3 linked regions of the Rattus norvegicus genome follow. The protein of the gene in region 3 interacts with the protein of the main gene of each other region in a biochemical or structural test. Links are inferred from orthologs where the notes say so. Each region holds a gene or a part of one and is shown on either strand. Other genes may lie near its edges. The genes, in order: Epn1, Grb2 and Reps2.

Region 1 (3,942 bases), on a different chromosome or scaffold from region 3:
TAGAAAGACGCCTGCTCCTTATGATCCCAATCTGGAAGCAGGCTAGGCTCAGGGTTTGCCAAGTTATGACGGCACTCAGTCAGAGCAACTACAATGATCCCACAACGCCACCGCCGCTGCTGCTACAGGCTCAGGCCCAGGTGCTCAGCCAGGGTCCTGACAGAAAGATCTGAAAGGCTGCCTGGCCTCAGCCTATCTGCACACTGAACCATGAGAAAGCAAGTGTGCACTGCATGCCCAAGAATCTAGCAGGGCCTACCAAGGTCAGCTGTGAGCACAAGAGTGACAGACCAACTATTCTCTGCCTTGGTCAGGGAAGACTCAGGCAAGGACCACCAACCCTTAGTGTCTAGCAGAGGCAGGGTCTGTGGAAGGCATCTGGCGAACAGCATGGGCAGATGAGCCCGAGTCCTGCTGCAGCTAGCCAGGCTGCTGCTAGGTTCTGGGCCCTGTGACTTAGCACTCAGTCTACATGGAAGCCCCTCTGACCACAGGTGGCATGGCAGGAGCGAGTGAGCCAGAGGACAGAACACACAGGCGCTCACCTCCTCCTTGCCCCCAGTCTCCCTCTTGCTCTCCTCTATTGCCATCTGCAGCCTCAGGTCATCCCCACGACGGATCCGCTCTTCCTATGGAGAGCAGAAGCAGCCAGACAGGTAGGGTCAGAACACGGGCCATGGGAGGGCAGCTGGCCCAGCCCAAAAGCCCCCATCCCAACCACCCTCTCTCCCACTCTGAAAACGAAAATAAAATAATTAAAATGGAATGTGGACAATGTATGGAATGGGGATGGGAATGTGACACCTGGGTCAAAGGTGGGGCAGGAGGCAGTGGACTGTGGTCTGGAGGGAAGGGGACTGACTGTGTGCAGGGTGCTATGAAAGGAATGGCTAAAGCTGGTTGTGAAAACAGCTTAGGAAGCTGGGAAGCAGTGGGACTGAGGAAGAGGAGGAGGCCCTTTCATCTTGGCCTACTGCTGAGGTGCTACTAGTGACACTTAGACTCCCAGACAGCTACAGCAGACCTATCCAATGTCCTGGCATCCACCCTGGCTAAAGACGCTGAACTGGAAGTGAGTAAAATACACCTGTACTCAGGGGAGGCAGTCAGGAAGGGGCAAGGAGTAAGGACCCACGGACCTGAGCAAGGTGTAAGGAAAGCCCTAGGAGGGGAGGGGAGGCCACTCTGACCTTATCGTGCTCCTCTCGGCTCAAACTAAGGGCCAGCTGGAGCTGGACGTCATCCTCGGGGCCGCAGGACGGGGGCTGGTGGAGAGAAAGTATGAGGGACAAGGCAGGGGAAGCCAGAGCCAGAGTAACAGGCAGAGAGGCCAAAAGGGGGCACAGGGCCAGGCTGGGCGGGATCAGGCAAGGAGACACTGGTCCTCCCAAATCTGTAAAGCTGGGCAGAGAAAGGAAGAAGCTGTGTGCCTGACTGTCAAAGCGCAGGTCGGCTTCCCAGGAGGGAAAAGCTAAGATGGAGGGAGCCGCAGACCAGAGAGAGACAGCAGGAGGCTGAGGCAGGAGAGGCATGAGGACAGGATGGCAGAACAGAGACCAGCCCTCTCCCCCACCGTGCCCCGTACCTGGTCAGCCTCCTCCTTGCTCATAGCCAGGGCCAGCTGGAGCTGCAACTCCTCCTCCCCGCTGCTCTGTGGCCATGCCTGCTCCGCCTCGGGAGGTGGTCCAGAGCCCACAGCTGCTGAGGAAGCTGGAAACAGGAAGACATTAAGACACAGGTGGACTAAAGACCAAAAGATGAGAACCCACAGCCAGAGGTGGGCTGCAGCCCAAATCCCAGCACGGCTCCCCTTCCCCCGAAAAAGGCCTCGGAGGGCCAAACTGCGAGAAAAAGTTATGGAGCCAGAGTCCAGGGAGGGGCAAAGGCCAGCCCCACCCTCAGAACTGCAAGCTACTGATAAGGGAAGACCAGGGTCTGAAGGAAAACCACAGGTTTGGGCCTCCAGAGGGACCCTCCCAGGTTTCCCAGGCTAGGAGATCTCCCAACAGAGCAGTCAAGGGCCCCTGTTTTTAGGCAGAATTGAAGCCCTGGCAGGGACAGCTGGAATTTAAGAGGGAGGCAATGTCTGTCCAGACTGTGGAGACCAACGAGGTGAGCATGAGCCTCTGGCATCAGCAGGGCGTGGAGACGGGGAAGGCCACATTAAGGTCAAGAGCCTGGCTCCAGGGCCAGCAGAAGGTGGGAGAGAGGCTGATGGTGTGCTCCCGAGGAGGCTCGAGACCAGTTCCTACAGTCTGCCTCTTCTCATCACCTCCTTCAGTCCTGGCACCATGCCCTGCTGTCTGCAGGCTCCATCCATAGTGGCTCCTGATCCCCTGACGGAGGCCAGGTCTCTAACCACTGCTCCAGCAGTGATCCAGAGAAGATCCACACTCTAAGAAGCTGTCTGCTCCTGCCCCCAAATCCCTTTTACCTAAGATGGATCCTGGAACATCCTCAGGAGACACAACCCACACCCCACTGGCAAACCTACACTGTGCAAACCTTAAGGCCCCACTTCAGACCTCATAAGGAAATGGGCAGCAACCAACAACACAAGAACTTCCACCCCAACCACCCAGCTTCACGCTCCCTGTGGCTTCCAACCCTTTGCAACCCTCCCCAACTCCTGTGGAAACCTTCCTCTCTCCAAGCACTTTGCTCTGAGACATGGGTCAGGCGAACATGGCCCATGGCCAAAACTGGTACTTTAAATGGTTGAGAAAGAAAATGAAAGAACATGTCAAGACATACAAAAATTGTAAAGAAATTCCAATTTAACCCAGGCAGTGATGGCACACACCTTTAATCCCAGCACTCAGGAGACAGAGGCAGGCAGATCTCTGAGTTTGAGTCCAGCCTGGTCTACAGAATGAGTTCCAGAACAGCCAAGGCTATACAAGAGAAACCCTGTTTCAAAAAAGGAAAAAACAAGCAGCAACAACAACAACAAAATCAATTCCAATTTCAGAGCCCATGACGGGAGCATGGGAAGCATGTGACCCATGCTTATCTGTGTGTGGAGCAGGTGATGTATGTGCCTCGGGCTCCTGGGTCAACAAAGCTCAAGGCACTCAAATATCTGGCCTCTCTGGAGCTTGGCCATGTCTAACAACTAAGAAACCCTCCTCAGAGAAACTAGGAAGATGGCCTACTGGTTTAACACACTTGCTGCCCAAGCATGAAAGCCAGAGTTAAGATCCCCAGGACACACCTAAATATGAGGTAGACTGAACAGTTAGTTCACTAGTAATTCCAGCCTAGGGAGACACAGACTGGCCAGAGCAAGCTGGCTCAAGGCTTGACTTGGTGAGCTCAGGATTTGACTAAGACCGTGCATCAAAAAGAACAATGTGTAAAGCAATCAACGCTGGGCCACCGTACACGTGGCTGCAAGTGCACAGCCATTTGTTCACACGCACACCGCATACACACATGTGCATGCATACCACACGCTTTCCACGAAGCCAACCAGGCCATGTTCCTTGCTACGGACATCCCTCCTCGGCCCAGCCCAATCCTGTATTAGAGCTTCCACTCTTCCCCTGGTGGGTCACTCCTGGACGCCCCCAGGTTCCTCCCCTCTACTATGTTCCCTGCTTTAAGCTCCACCTGAGCACTTCCCACAGTGTCCTCATATCTCTGACCCAAACTTGATGCATCAGACGGAAGGCCTCCCATTAGAACCAAGGTCACAGACTTTTGGTTCCATCTGCCCTGGAGGGTCCAATCCCGCTCACCCCCAGCACTGACTCGCCATCCCCACAACCACTTGCAAACTCAGTGCTCCCAACTGTCCTCCTATAATCTCCCTATCTAACACTCTTCCCACTCTCCCTGCCAAGCCAAGGTCCCTCTGCATGAAAAAATGAAACCCCTATATAATCCAGGAAGGACCCCCGCACCTGCCACTGAACATGCTACTAGACAGATCACACAGAC
Region 2 (3,942 bases), on a different chromosome or scaffold from region 3:
CAATCACAACAATATGCCATCATAAAAGTTATCTACAGTCCAGGAGTTATTGCTGGAATTTCCAGCTGGCCTGTGGTAACTGATGGAGGAAAGCAAGCCTGAAGTGGCTGTCCACTTCCTCATGTCTCCACTGAGAAGCAATGGAGGTGGTTTCAAAAGGACTGTGGCTCAGAATCCAAAGGTCCTTCCTGTCTGGCTCCAAAGGCCCAAGGGCCTTTTGTGATGCACCTGCTTCCGGAGTGCAGGGTCACTCCTACCACGACCTTCCCGCCAGGCTCTGCAGACCTGGAAACCAGTGTACTAGCTTAGTTAAGTCTGGTGCTGATCGAAGGACCTGTGTAGGTGCTTCACTAAAGGCAGTAGGTAGTTCATGCTATCCTTGTGTGCGTGTGTGGGTATGGGTATGAATGCATGTGCATGTATGTGGAAACCTAACGTCAATGCTGGATGTCTGCAGTATGTCTCTCACTGGACCTGGAGCTCACTGATTACACTAGGCTGGCCGGCCGCAGCTCCAGGGATCTCCTCTCTCTATAACTTCTGCACTGTGGATCCTCACTCAGGTCCTCTTGTCTGCGTGGTAGTTACCAACTGAGTCATCCACCCCGGACATTTTATTCCTAAAGTGATGGCTTACTAACATCTTTAAATGTTTTCTGTTTAACTTTAAAAACCACATTTTCTAGATATGCATGTGTGGTAGGCACAGGCACGGTCAGAGGGACTCCTGAGACTCAAAACACAGGTCACCTGGCTAGATAACAAGTGCCTTTACCCACTGAGCCATGTCATCAGCCAGGGTCTCAGTTAGCTCAGGCTGATTTTGAGCTCACTATGTAGCCAAGGATGACCCAGAATGTATAATCCTCCTGCTTCAAGCTCCTAAGTGCTGAGACTACACTCAGTTGTTGGCAGTGCTTGTGCTAGAGATGGAACCTAGGACTCACTGTGCTAATCAGGCATTTCTATCTCTGCCCTGGGTCTCCATCCCTGCAAGGCTGTCTTTCATGGACGGCATAGCTGGCCTTCCTGCAGGTGCTCGGGTAGAGGTGGTGGTGCTGAACACAGGCCGGTCTCCAGCCCAGCACTGCCCAGGGGCCTGGCCACTCCCGACTGTCTAATCATTGTCTCCCCTTCCTGAGCTGTTTTACTGCTACTTGGAGCAGTTCAGGCAAAGGAAAGACATACAAGCTACTGAGAAGTCTAAAAATGCTAATTCTACAAACCAAGACTCTGTATGACCCTTACTTACATGTGTTTAATCAAAAATGTAAAAAAAAAAAAACCCCAAACCTAGTTATAAGAAGAAACTGTTATCATACTCAGTTGAAAAAAAAAAGTTTGAGGCAAGCCTGGTCTATAGATAAAAGTTCCAGGACAGCCAGGACTACACAGAGAAAAATCCTGTCTTACAAAGCAAAACAGAAAAGTATGCAAACCTTCTGAGGTATCAAAGCTCACCCAAAGCTCTCACCTCTGCATTCAGACACAGAACACAGCTTGGTTCTGGTGCCCAGAGCTTAAGGCCTGTCATTCCTTTCCATGACAGGGAAGTGAAGGCACAGGACTCGGAGTTCAAGGCTGGTCTGAAGGAGTGCACTCCTTCACTCATTAATCGTGGTGCTAGTGATAGAAGCCAGGGCCTTCAATGTACTACAGTGAGCTCTACATTGAGACCCTGGTTGGTGTATTTAAAAGACAAAAAAAGCCAGGACTAGTGGGGTGACTCAGTGAGGCCTTCTGCTCAGACCCGACAAGGTGGGGTTTAAACCTCAGACCCCACAAGACAGCAGAGAAAGCAAGCAGACTCCTGACAGTCTGTCCTCCTCTTCCCTGGCTCGGAGTCAAAGACACTGGGCTCCCTCACCTCGTTACAGATTAATAATGAGGAGGAGGGAACAGCTGGCCATGCCTGTAAGCCCAGTACTCAGGAGACTGAGACAGGCGAACTGCCATCCATTTGACGAGTTTCTGCTACCCAGCAAGTTCCTGGACAGCCTGGGGTGCAGAGAAGAGTCTGTGACTGAAGAGTTTTGGGGTAGGCTTCTGCAGTGACACAGTAACTAGAAGGGGAGGATCGGTCAGATGTCTAACTCTGGCTGGCTTGGAAGTCACAGAGATCCAGCTGTCTTTGCTTCTCACGTGCTAGCTTAGAGGCCAACTCCTGTTTGGATTTTTGAGAGGACACCCACTAGGCTCATGGAAACCAAGTGTCGGGTCCAGGTGAGCAGTGAAGGCAGGCGGGATGAGAAGTGGTGCAGATTAAACTGGCCCTGGGTGCTGTCAGTTCCCATAGGTTCATGACACTGCAAACCTAAAGCTCGGATCTGCTACAACTAGGTTAGAGCAAACACTAGGATGTCCACAGGAAAAGACAGGTTAACATCTTCCCAGCAGCCTTACAATCCAGTCAATGGCTGCAGCTTCTCTGGCAGCTCCAGCAGGAAATACTTACTTGACTGACAGGGAGAAATCCCCAGGAGCGCTCTCGCTCTCTCGGATCAGGAAGGCCCCGTCATGCCGCTGTTTGCTAAGCATTTCTTCTGCCTTTGCTCTGGGGATTTTGCCAAAAAACCACCTAAGGAAGGAAGGCAAGCCAGTCAACATCTGCCTCCCCACAGAGAACTGGGTGGGATGCACAACCTGGCATGTACATGGGGACACTTCTGTCGGAGAGAAGGAGGGAGGGCAGAGCAGGGCAGAGCATTACCTGCTGGCCTCTTGCCTAAGGCTCTGGGGCTACTGTTTGGCTCAGGGCCTTCCTGAGTGACAGAGCTTTCAAACAGCTTCACCCACTCCACTCTACAGATCATGATTCAAGGCAGCAACAAGGGCCACTCTTCAGGCTACAAGGAGACCACTCCTAACATGCAGTCTGAAAGCCAGTGCCCAAGGCCAAAGCTGCCCTGCCTCTCCCTCACTCATCAGGTGGTACCTAGGGAAGCCCAGATACCCAGGATAAGGGCAGAGGGGAAGACAGGCCCTTGGAAGCCATTTCATCATAACAGGAGTGCAGGGCTGGCTGGCTGACATCTGACTTGGAGGTGTGGAGTCTGCGACAGCACAGAGGGAAGCTGGACTGTGAGGAAGTAGACTCTAGGTTGTGGTTGTGGTGTCCCTTTATTCCCAGCACCCAGGAGGCAGACAAAGGCTCTGTGGTTCGAAGTCAGCCTCGTCTACATAGTTTCAGGACAGCCAGAGCTACACAGTGAGACTGTCCTACCTTACCTCATGGATCTGAAATCCTTTCATATGCACATGATAACCCCAACAGTACCAGACCGTCTGCCTATCAGTGACAAATCATTATTTCATTATGGCTATCATGCACAGCTGTGTCCCACCATGCCTGGTTTTATGTGGTGCTGGGTGCTAAACTGCAGGTCACTTACTATGAAACCTGTGTGTCATCTGCCGGGCACGCACGACGCGCACTACAGCACAGCCACTGTGGCTGGTTTCATTGGACCCAAGTGCATCGCTAGGTGGCTGACGGTCAGTGTATAACTGTCCTCTTCCTCTCCAAACAAAGGAGGTGGGGGAGGGCTGGCCTCGTTGCCTGGAGGCACCACACTAAGCACCGTGTGCATTATTAGACCGTGTGGCAGATCCAGAGTGGGAAGTGCAGAAACAATCAGAAGAGGTGGCCTTCACAGCAGTGTGACCTGGAGAAAGGCTCCTGAGTGTTCAACTTCCTTCTGTAGAGCTCAAAGTGGGAATGGAGCCCACCGACTGCCCTTCAGCCAGCCTCAAATAACCCAGCTGACCATGCCGAGCTTCCTGCCTGCTTACTTGCTGAGAGCCAGGAAGGGTCCGACCCTGGGGCCTCACTCAAGCTGCTTCCGTGCTCTAGCACTAAGCTAACACCCCCAGGCCTTTCCAATTGCCCAGGCTAGCCCCAAACAACAGTACTTCTGCCTCAACCTCAAGTGATGGGATCAC
Region 3 (4,713 bases):
GTGAGTTCCAGGACAGCCAGAACTATGTAGAGAGACCCTGTCTTAACAAATAAAACCAGATTTTCCTTTTGGAAAAAATGTAAATATATAAGACTTACACTGCCATTTTCAATGTTGTTGTGAGGCAGATTTTTTTCTTCTAGTGTATTATTTTGTGGACTTTGTTTTTCTTTTTGCAGGCTAGCTTGGAATTCACTGTGTAGCTAGAGTAGATTCAAAATTTCAGTGCTTCTCCTGCCCCAGACTCCTAGTGTTAAGGTTACAAACCTGAGCCACCACACTTAGCATAGACTTTCTTTCCACATAGGAGGTTTGGCTAGAGCAATAGCCATCAAGGAAGAAGCCCATTTGAACACACACACACACACACACACACACACACACACACACACACACGGTTTTTAAAGTTCTGAGATCTAGTGTTGACTTTTTTGGTAGGAACTTGGACAAATTTTGGACAAAATTTTAAAAAGCTGCTTGTTTTCCTGCCAAAAGAAGTGTTTTTAGAACAAAGGGCCTTGTCTAAAAAATAAAAATAACCAGGGACTAAGCCACTACCTAAAGACTATATATACATGGACTGTCCCTGGACTCTGACCTCATAGGTAGCAATGAATATCCTAGTAAGATCACCAGTGGAAGGGGAAGCCCTTGGTCCTGCTAAGACTGAACCCCCAGTGAACGTGATTGTTGGGGGGAGGGCGGCAATGGGGGGAGGATGGGGAGGGGAACACCCATAAAGAAGGGGAGGGGGTGGGGTTAGGGGGATGTTGGCCCAGAAACTTGGAAAGGGAATAACACTCGAAATGTAAATAAGAAATACTCAAGTTAATAAAAAAATAAAAATAAAAAAATCCTTCTAGAAATCAAGGACACTGTTACAGAGGCCAATATTTTCAGTTCTTAAGAAGCATAAATTTTCCAGATAGTGTCTCCCACCGTTTCTCAGATTTCAATAGAGCACTGGCACAGAATGCACCTCACCTCTGAAAAACAAACAAAACCCAAAAACGCATTTTTCCACTTCTTTCCTTTAGGACTTATAGGTACCTTCTGATACTTCTCAGTAAGGCTCAAATCCAGATCACAGCCATACCTGAGAAAGTGACCTAACTCCATCATCTCTGGGGTGGTGCTGGGACCCCGTTCATAAGAATTCCGCTTTTTTAGCTTTTCAGGACATAGGCCTTACAGTTTTAGAAGAAGGAAAATCCAACTTTTCTTGCCTGATTCCTTTTCTAATTGGACTCCTCATCCGCTTGGGACTTCTAATGAGACATCTCAGTTTTCCCCATCCCTTGAAAAGCGCTGTTTTTCTTGTGTGTGTACAGATGTTCCCCTGCCAGTCAGGATGGAGATCTCAAGATGCCCCTCGTGAACAGCGTGGGCTTGGAGGGCGTTGGCAGCTGCTCTCCCCGCCCGGCCTCGACTGCAGAGCAGGTGAAAGGCTTGGGAGGGCGGCGGGCGGAGTTGTGTTCCTTACCTGGCAAAAGGGCGGAGCGGGGCGGGCTTTAAGGGAGGGGCCCAGGTGGGATTCTGGGCTGTGATTGGTCAGTGCCGCGCCTGTCTCCATGTGCCGCGCAGCGGAGGCACAACATTCAAGCCCGGGGGGGCGGGGCCGGCGTGCGCTTGGAGGAAGCGGCAGCGCTGCAGCTGCGGGGCGTGGGGGCGGCGGCTTCGGAGGCCGAGGCGGTGGTGGTGGCCCTGGCGGAGGCACGAGCACCTTGGCCAGGGAAGGCGCTCAGCCCGGACTCTACAGAAGGCCCTATGGAGGTGGCGGCGGGCGGAGGCGGCGGTGCGGGGCCGCCGTTGCTGCTGAGCGATAGCGAGCAGCAGTGCTACTCTGAGCTCTTCGCGCGCTGTGCAGGCGCTGCAAGCGGGGGCCCCGGACCTGGCCCCCTCGAGGCTACCAGGGTCGCCCCTGGCATTCTCACTGCGGCCGCTGGTCCGGTAGCCGATCTGTTTCGAGCGTCGCAGCTGCCACCGGAGACATTGCACCAGGTATGCCTCTGCGCTCTTTTATCCCTCACGGGTCTGTGTGGACGTGTCTATGGGAAGAATGGAGCAACAACGACTATTCCCGGGGATCTGGAGGGCGGCGGCCAGGACGGCAAAAAGAGGGGGGGCTCTGCAGCCGAGGATGGCGGCGACGCCCTTGTCCCCAGGGACACCAGCCTCCTCTGCAGCTCCTCTCCTTCTAGCCCGGTGCTTGGGTGTGCTCTTCGTCCCTTGAGAAAGTCTTGACACCCCTATCATTTCTGGGGGTTCTACAGTCTCCCAGACCCAAAGTTTGCCCTGTTCTGGAAGTGATGTTTGTTTTGGCTGCTGTCTGCTTTAACCTCTGTTCCTTGCTCCTGCCCCTCCCTTTGTTGACTACACTCTCGGGGTGCCTTACTGGGATTTGAACTTGAAGGGTGTGTACATGTGTGCCTGTAGGCTCTGGGCCTACAGCTACATGTTGTCCTCCCTTTTTAATACTTGTGATATGTACATATCTGCTACATATATTTGTTCACTAACGTATTTCTGATTATTAGTATAGAAGTGGAAAACCTTAGTGCCCAGTTGTAGAACAGGGACTCAGGGCTACAAGACAAGAACATTGGTCAAGTCCAAAGTAAGTTCCCTATTTGGGTCCAGGGGTGGATTTAGAAGTCTATAGCTGTAGTTTCCCATCTTATTGTCACTTGACTTTGGCATGGAGTTACGAAACAAAGGGTGTCATAGCTTCTTTCTGTCTGCCCCATACCTGGAAAGGAGGAAGGAATGATTCACAGCAGGTGCTGTTTTTGTTTTGTGCTTTCCTTGAAGCTTGGACAAAGGTTGCTTGGTAAACCTTTGTCTGTCATTTGATGTTACCAGCAGCAAATGGGGATAATATTGTTAATATCAAGCCCTAAATATGAACCTCTACTTAAAAAGCAATAGTGTGAAAGTTATTAACGAAAACTGAATTTTTACAGTGGTGAGCAAAGGCTTTAAAATGTAGTTCCTAAGGAGTACTGAGGGTTTTATGGTTCACTTGCCATATCTTTCTTTGCCTTTGTGAGGCTCACTCTTTTCTTTCTTTCTTTCTTTCTTTCTTTCTTTCTTTCTCTCTCTCTCTCTCTCTCTCTCTCTCTCTCTCTTTCTTTCTTTCTCTCTCTCTGGCACTCAAGACTGTTCTATACTGCTGGTGCATGACATTGATGCTCGTTTGTTTGTGAGCATAATTTTAGCCACTTGGTTCACCTTTTCGAATTGAGAATTTCTGAACATGATTAGTATTCATAGAATTTAGCATGGTTGTTTGTTCCTGTGGGATTCTGTGATAAGGAGATAGTTCTGCCACAGTTGCTAAGCAGTTGAGTTGCACAGGGTGATGATAAGGAGTTGGTGTTCTGAAACAAACTAGCTATTACCAGGACCTCAGGATACTGCCGAGCATAATAAATTCACTAAAGTGTTCGAGGCAATGCACCAAATAATTGCACTGTACATCTGGCCAGGATTAATTTGTGGTCGGTAATACATCAAGTGTGATAAGAGAAAGGGGCATATGAAAATTGGTTGAGGTTTCTGCAGGAATTGGCGAGGGGGCTTTCCTGTGTGATAACCAATGCTTTCTTGAAGAACATATAATTTAAAAAGAACCTAAGGTACAGAGACTTAGAGGGGAAAACTGTGTGCAAAATACCACTTCAGATGCTACCAAAAGGGGCTATTCCTAGATTGCTTATTGTGAGTCTGAGATTTATGTTCCCTTACTCAGCCCAGAGAAATAAAACACAGTCCCTTTCATGTAACCAATTAGAATGACTTTTGGTACAGGTAACAATTAACATTTAAAGTCACCCAGCGGGAACTGGGAAGGGTAATGAAAGATGGGATCTATTGGACATCTAACTTTTATCCACCACTTTGGTGGTGTGTGTATGCTCTGTCTGACTTAATTTGTTTTAGCTCATTAGTGTATTGGCTATTTTAAAACAAATGTAGAAAATTTCCCCCTTTCCCTTCTAAACCGAAACCTGAAAGTTCAGATTTAAGTGGCCCAACAGGTATAACTGCTCAAATCCCGGAGACAGTAACCAGACCTGATAGTTTCTATGGTTAACAGCCAGATTTTCCTCGTAATAAGCATACGATTGAGATGACTGTACTGGAGGGCTGGGGATTTAGCTCTGTTGCTAGAGTGCTTGCCTAACATGCATGAAAGACTAGATTCAGTCCCCATCACTGCCGCAAATCGGACATGGTGGCACGTACCTATAATCTCAGCACTCTGGAGGTAGAGGCAGAGGGGCCACAAGTTCAAGGTTATCCTCAGCAACATAGCTAATTTGAGGCCAGTCTGGGTAAATGAGACTTTGTCTTAAAATGATTATTATTATCTATTAACTCACAGAGATCCAATGATAGACCATTCTTAGACATCAAGATTGGTTATAAAATATTGTTTAATCTATATTATCAGGAGAAGCCATTAAATGGGAAAATTCAGTAATATCTGATTGTCAGATAATGGATTAAAGCAAAGAATCACATCCTGGCCATGAGAAGTAGGCTTATTTTACTTTATATTTATTTATTATTTATACATTTAAGAGTTTTTCCTGCATGTGCTTGGTATCCACCAAGGTCAAAAAAGGGCATGGGATTCCCTGGGATCTGCAGTTACAAACAGTTGTGAACTGCCATGTGGATGGTGGGGATTGAACTCTGGGTCTCTAA

Evidence for each region.
Region 1: the proteins of Reps2 (region 3) and Epn1 form a complex in vitro, tested with the Homo sapiens proteins (3 studies listed by BioGRID and IntAct, with this or other methods). The link is inferred for Rattus norvegicus from reciprocal best matches to the Homo sapiens genes REPS2 and EPN1.
Region 2: the proteins of Reps2 (region 3) and Grb2 form a complex in vitro, tested with the Homo sapiens proteins (2 studies listed by BioGRID and IntAct, with this or other methods). The link is inferred for Rattus norvegicus from reciprocal best matches to the Homo sapiens genes REPS2 and GRB2.

The regions. Positions count from the first base shown.
Region 1 is NC_086019.1:77,775,544-77,779,485, forward strand, and holds part of Epn1 (epsin-1), read right to left. Parts: intron 1,711-3,942; coding exon 1,586-1,710; intron 1,266-1,585; coding exon 1,191-1,265; intron 630-1,190; coding exon 546-629; intron 1-545. UniProt on the Homo sapiens protein: Binds to membranes enriched in phosphatidylinositol 4,5-bisphosphate (PtdIns(4,5)P2). Modifies membrane curvature and facilitates the formation of clathrin-coated invaginations. Regulates receptor-mediated endocytosis.
Region 2 is NC_086028.1:101,385,507-101,389,448, forward strand, and holds part of Grb2 (growth factor receptor-bound protein 2), read right to left. Parts: intron 2,579-3,942; coding exon 2,456-2,578; intron 1-2,455. UniProt on the Homo sapiens protein: Non-enzymatic adapter protein that plays a pivotal role in precisely regulated signaling cascades from cell surface receptors to cellular responses, including signaling transduction and gene expression.
Region 3 is NC_086039.1:35,679,640-35,684,352, forward strand, and holds the start of Reps2 (RALBP1 associated Eps domain containing 2), read left to right. Parts: upstream 1-1,623; 5' UTR 1,624-1,767; coding exon 1,768-2,001; intron 2,002-4,713. UniProt on the Homo sapiens protein: Involved in ligand-dependent receptor mediated endocytosis of the EGF and insulin receptors as part of the Ral signaling pathway. By controlling growth factor receptors endocytosis may regulate cell survival.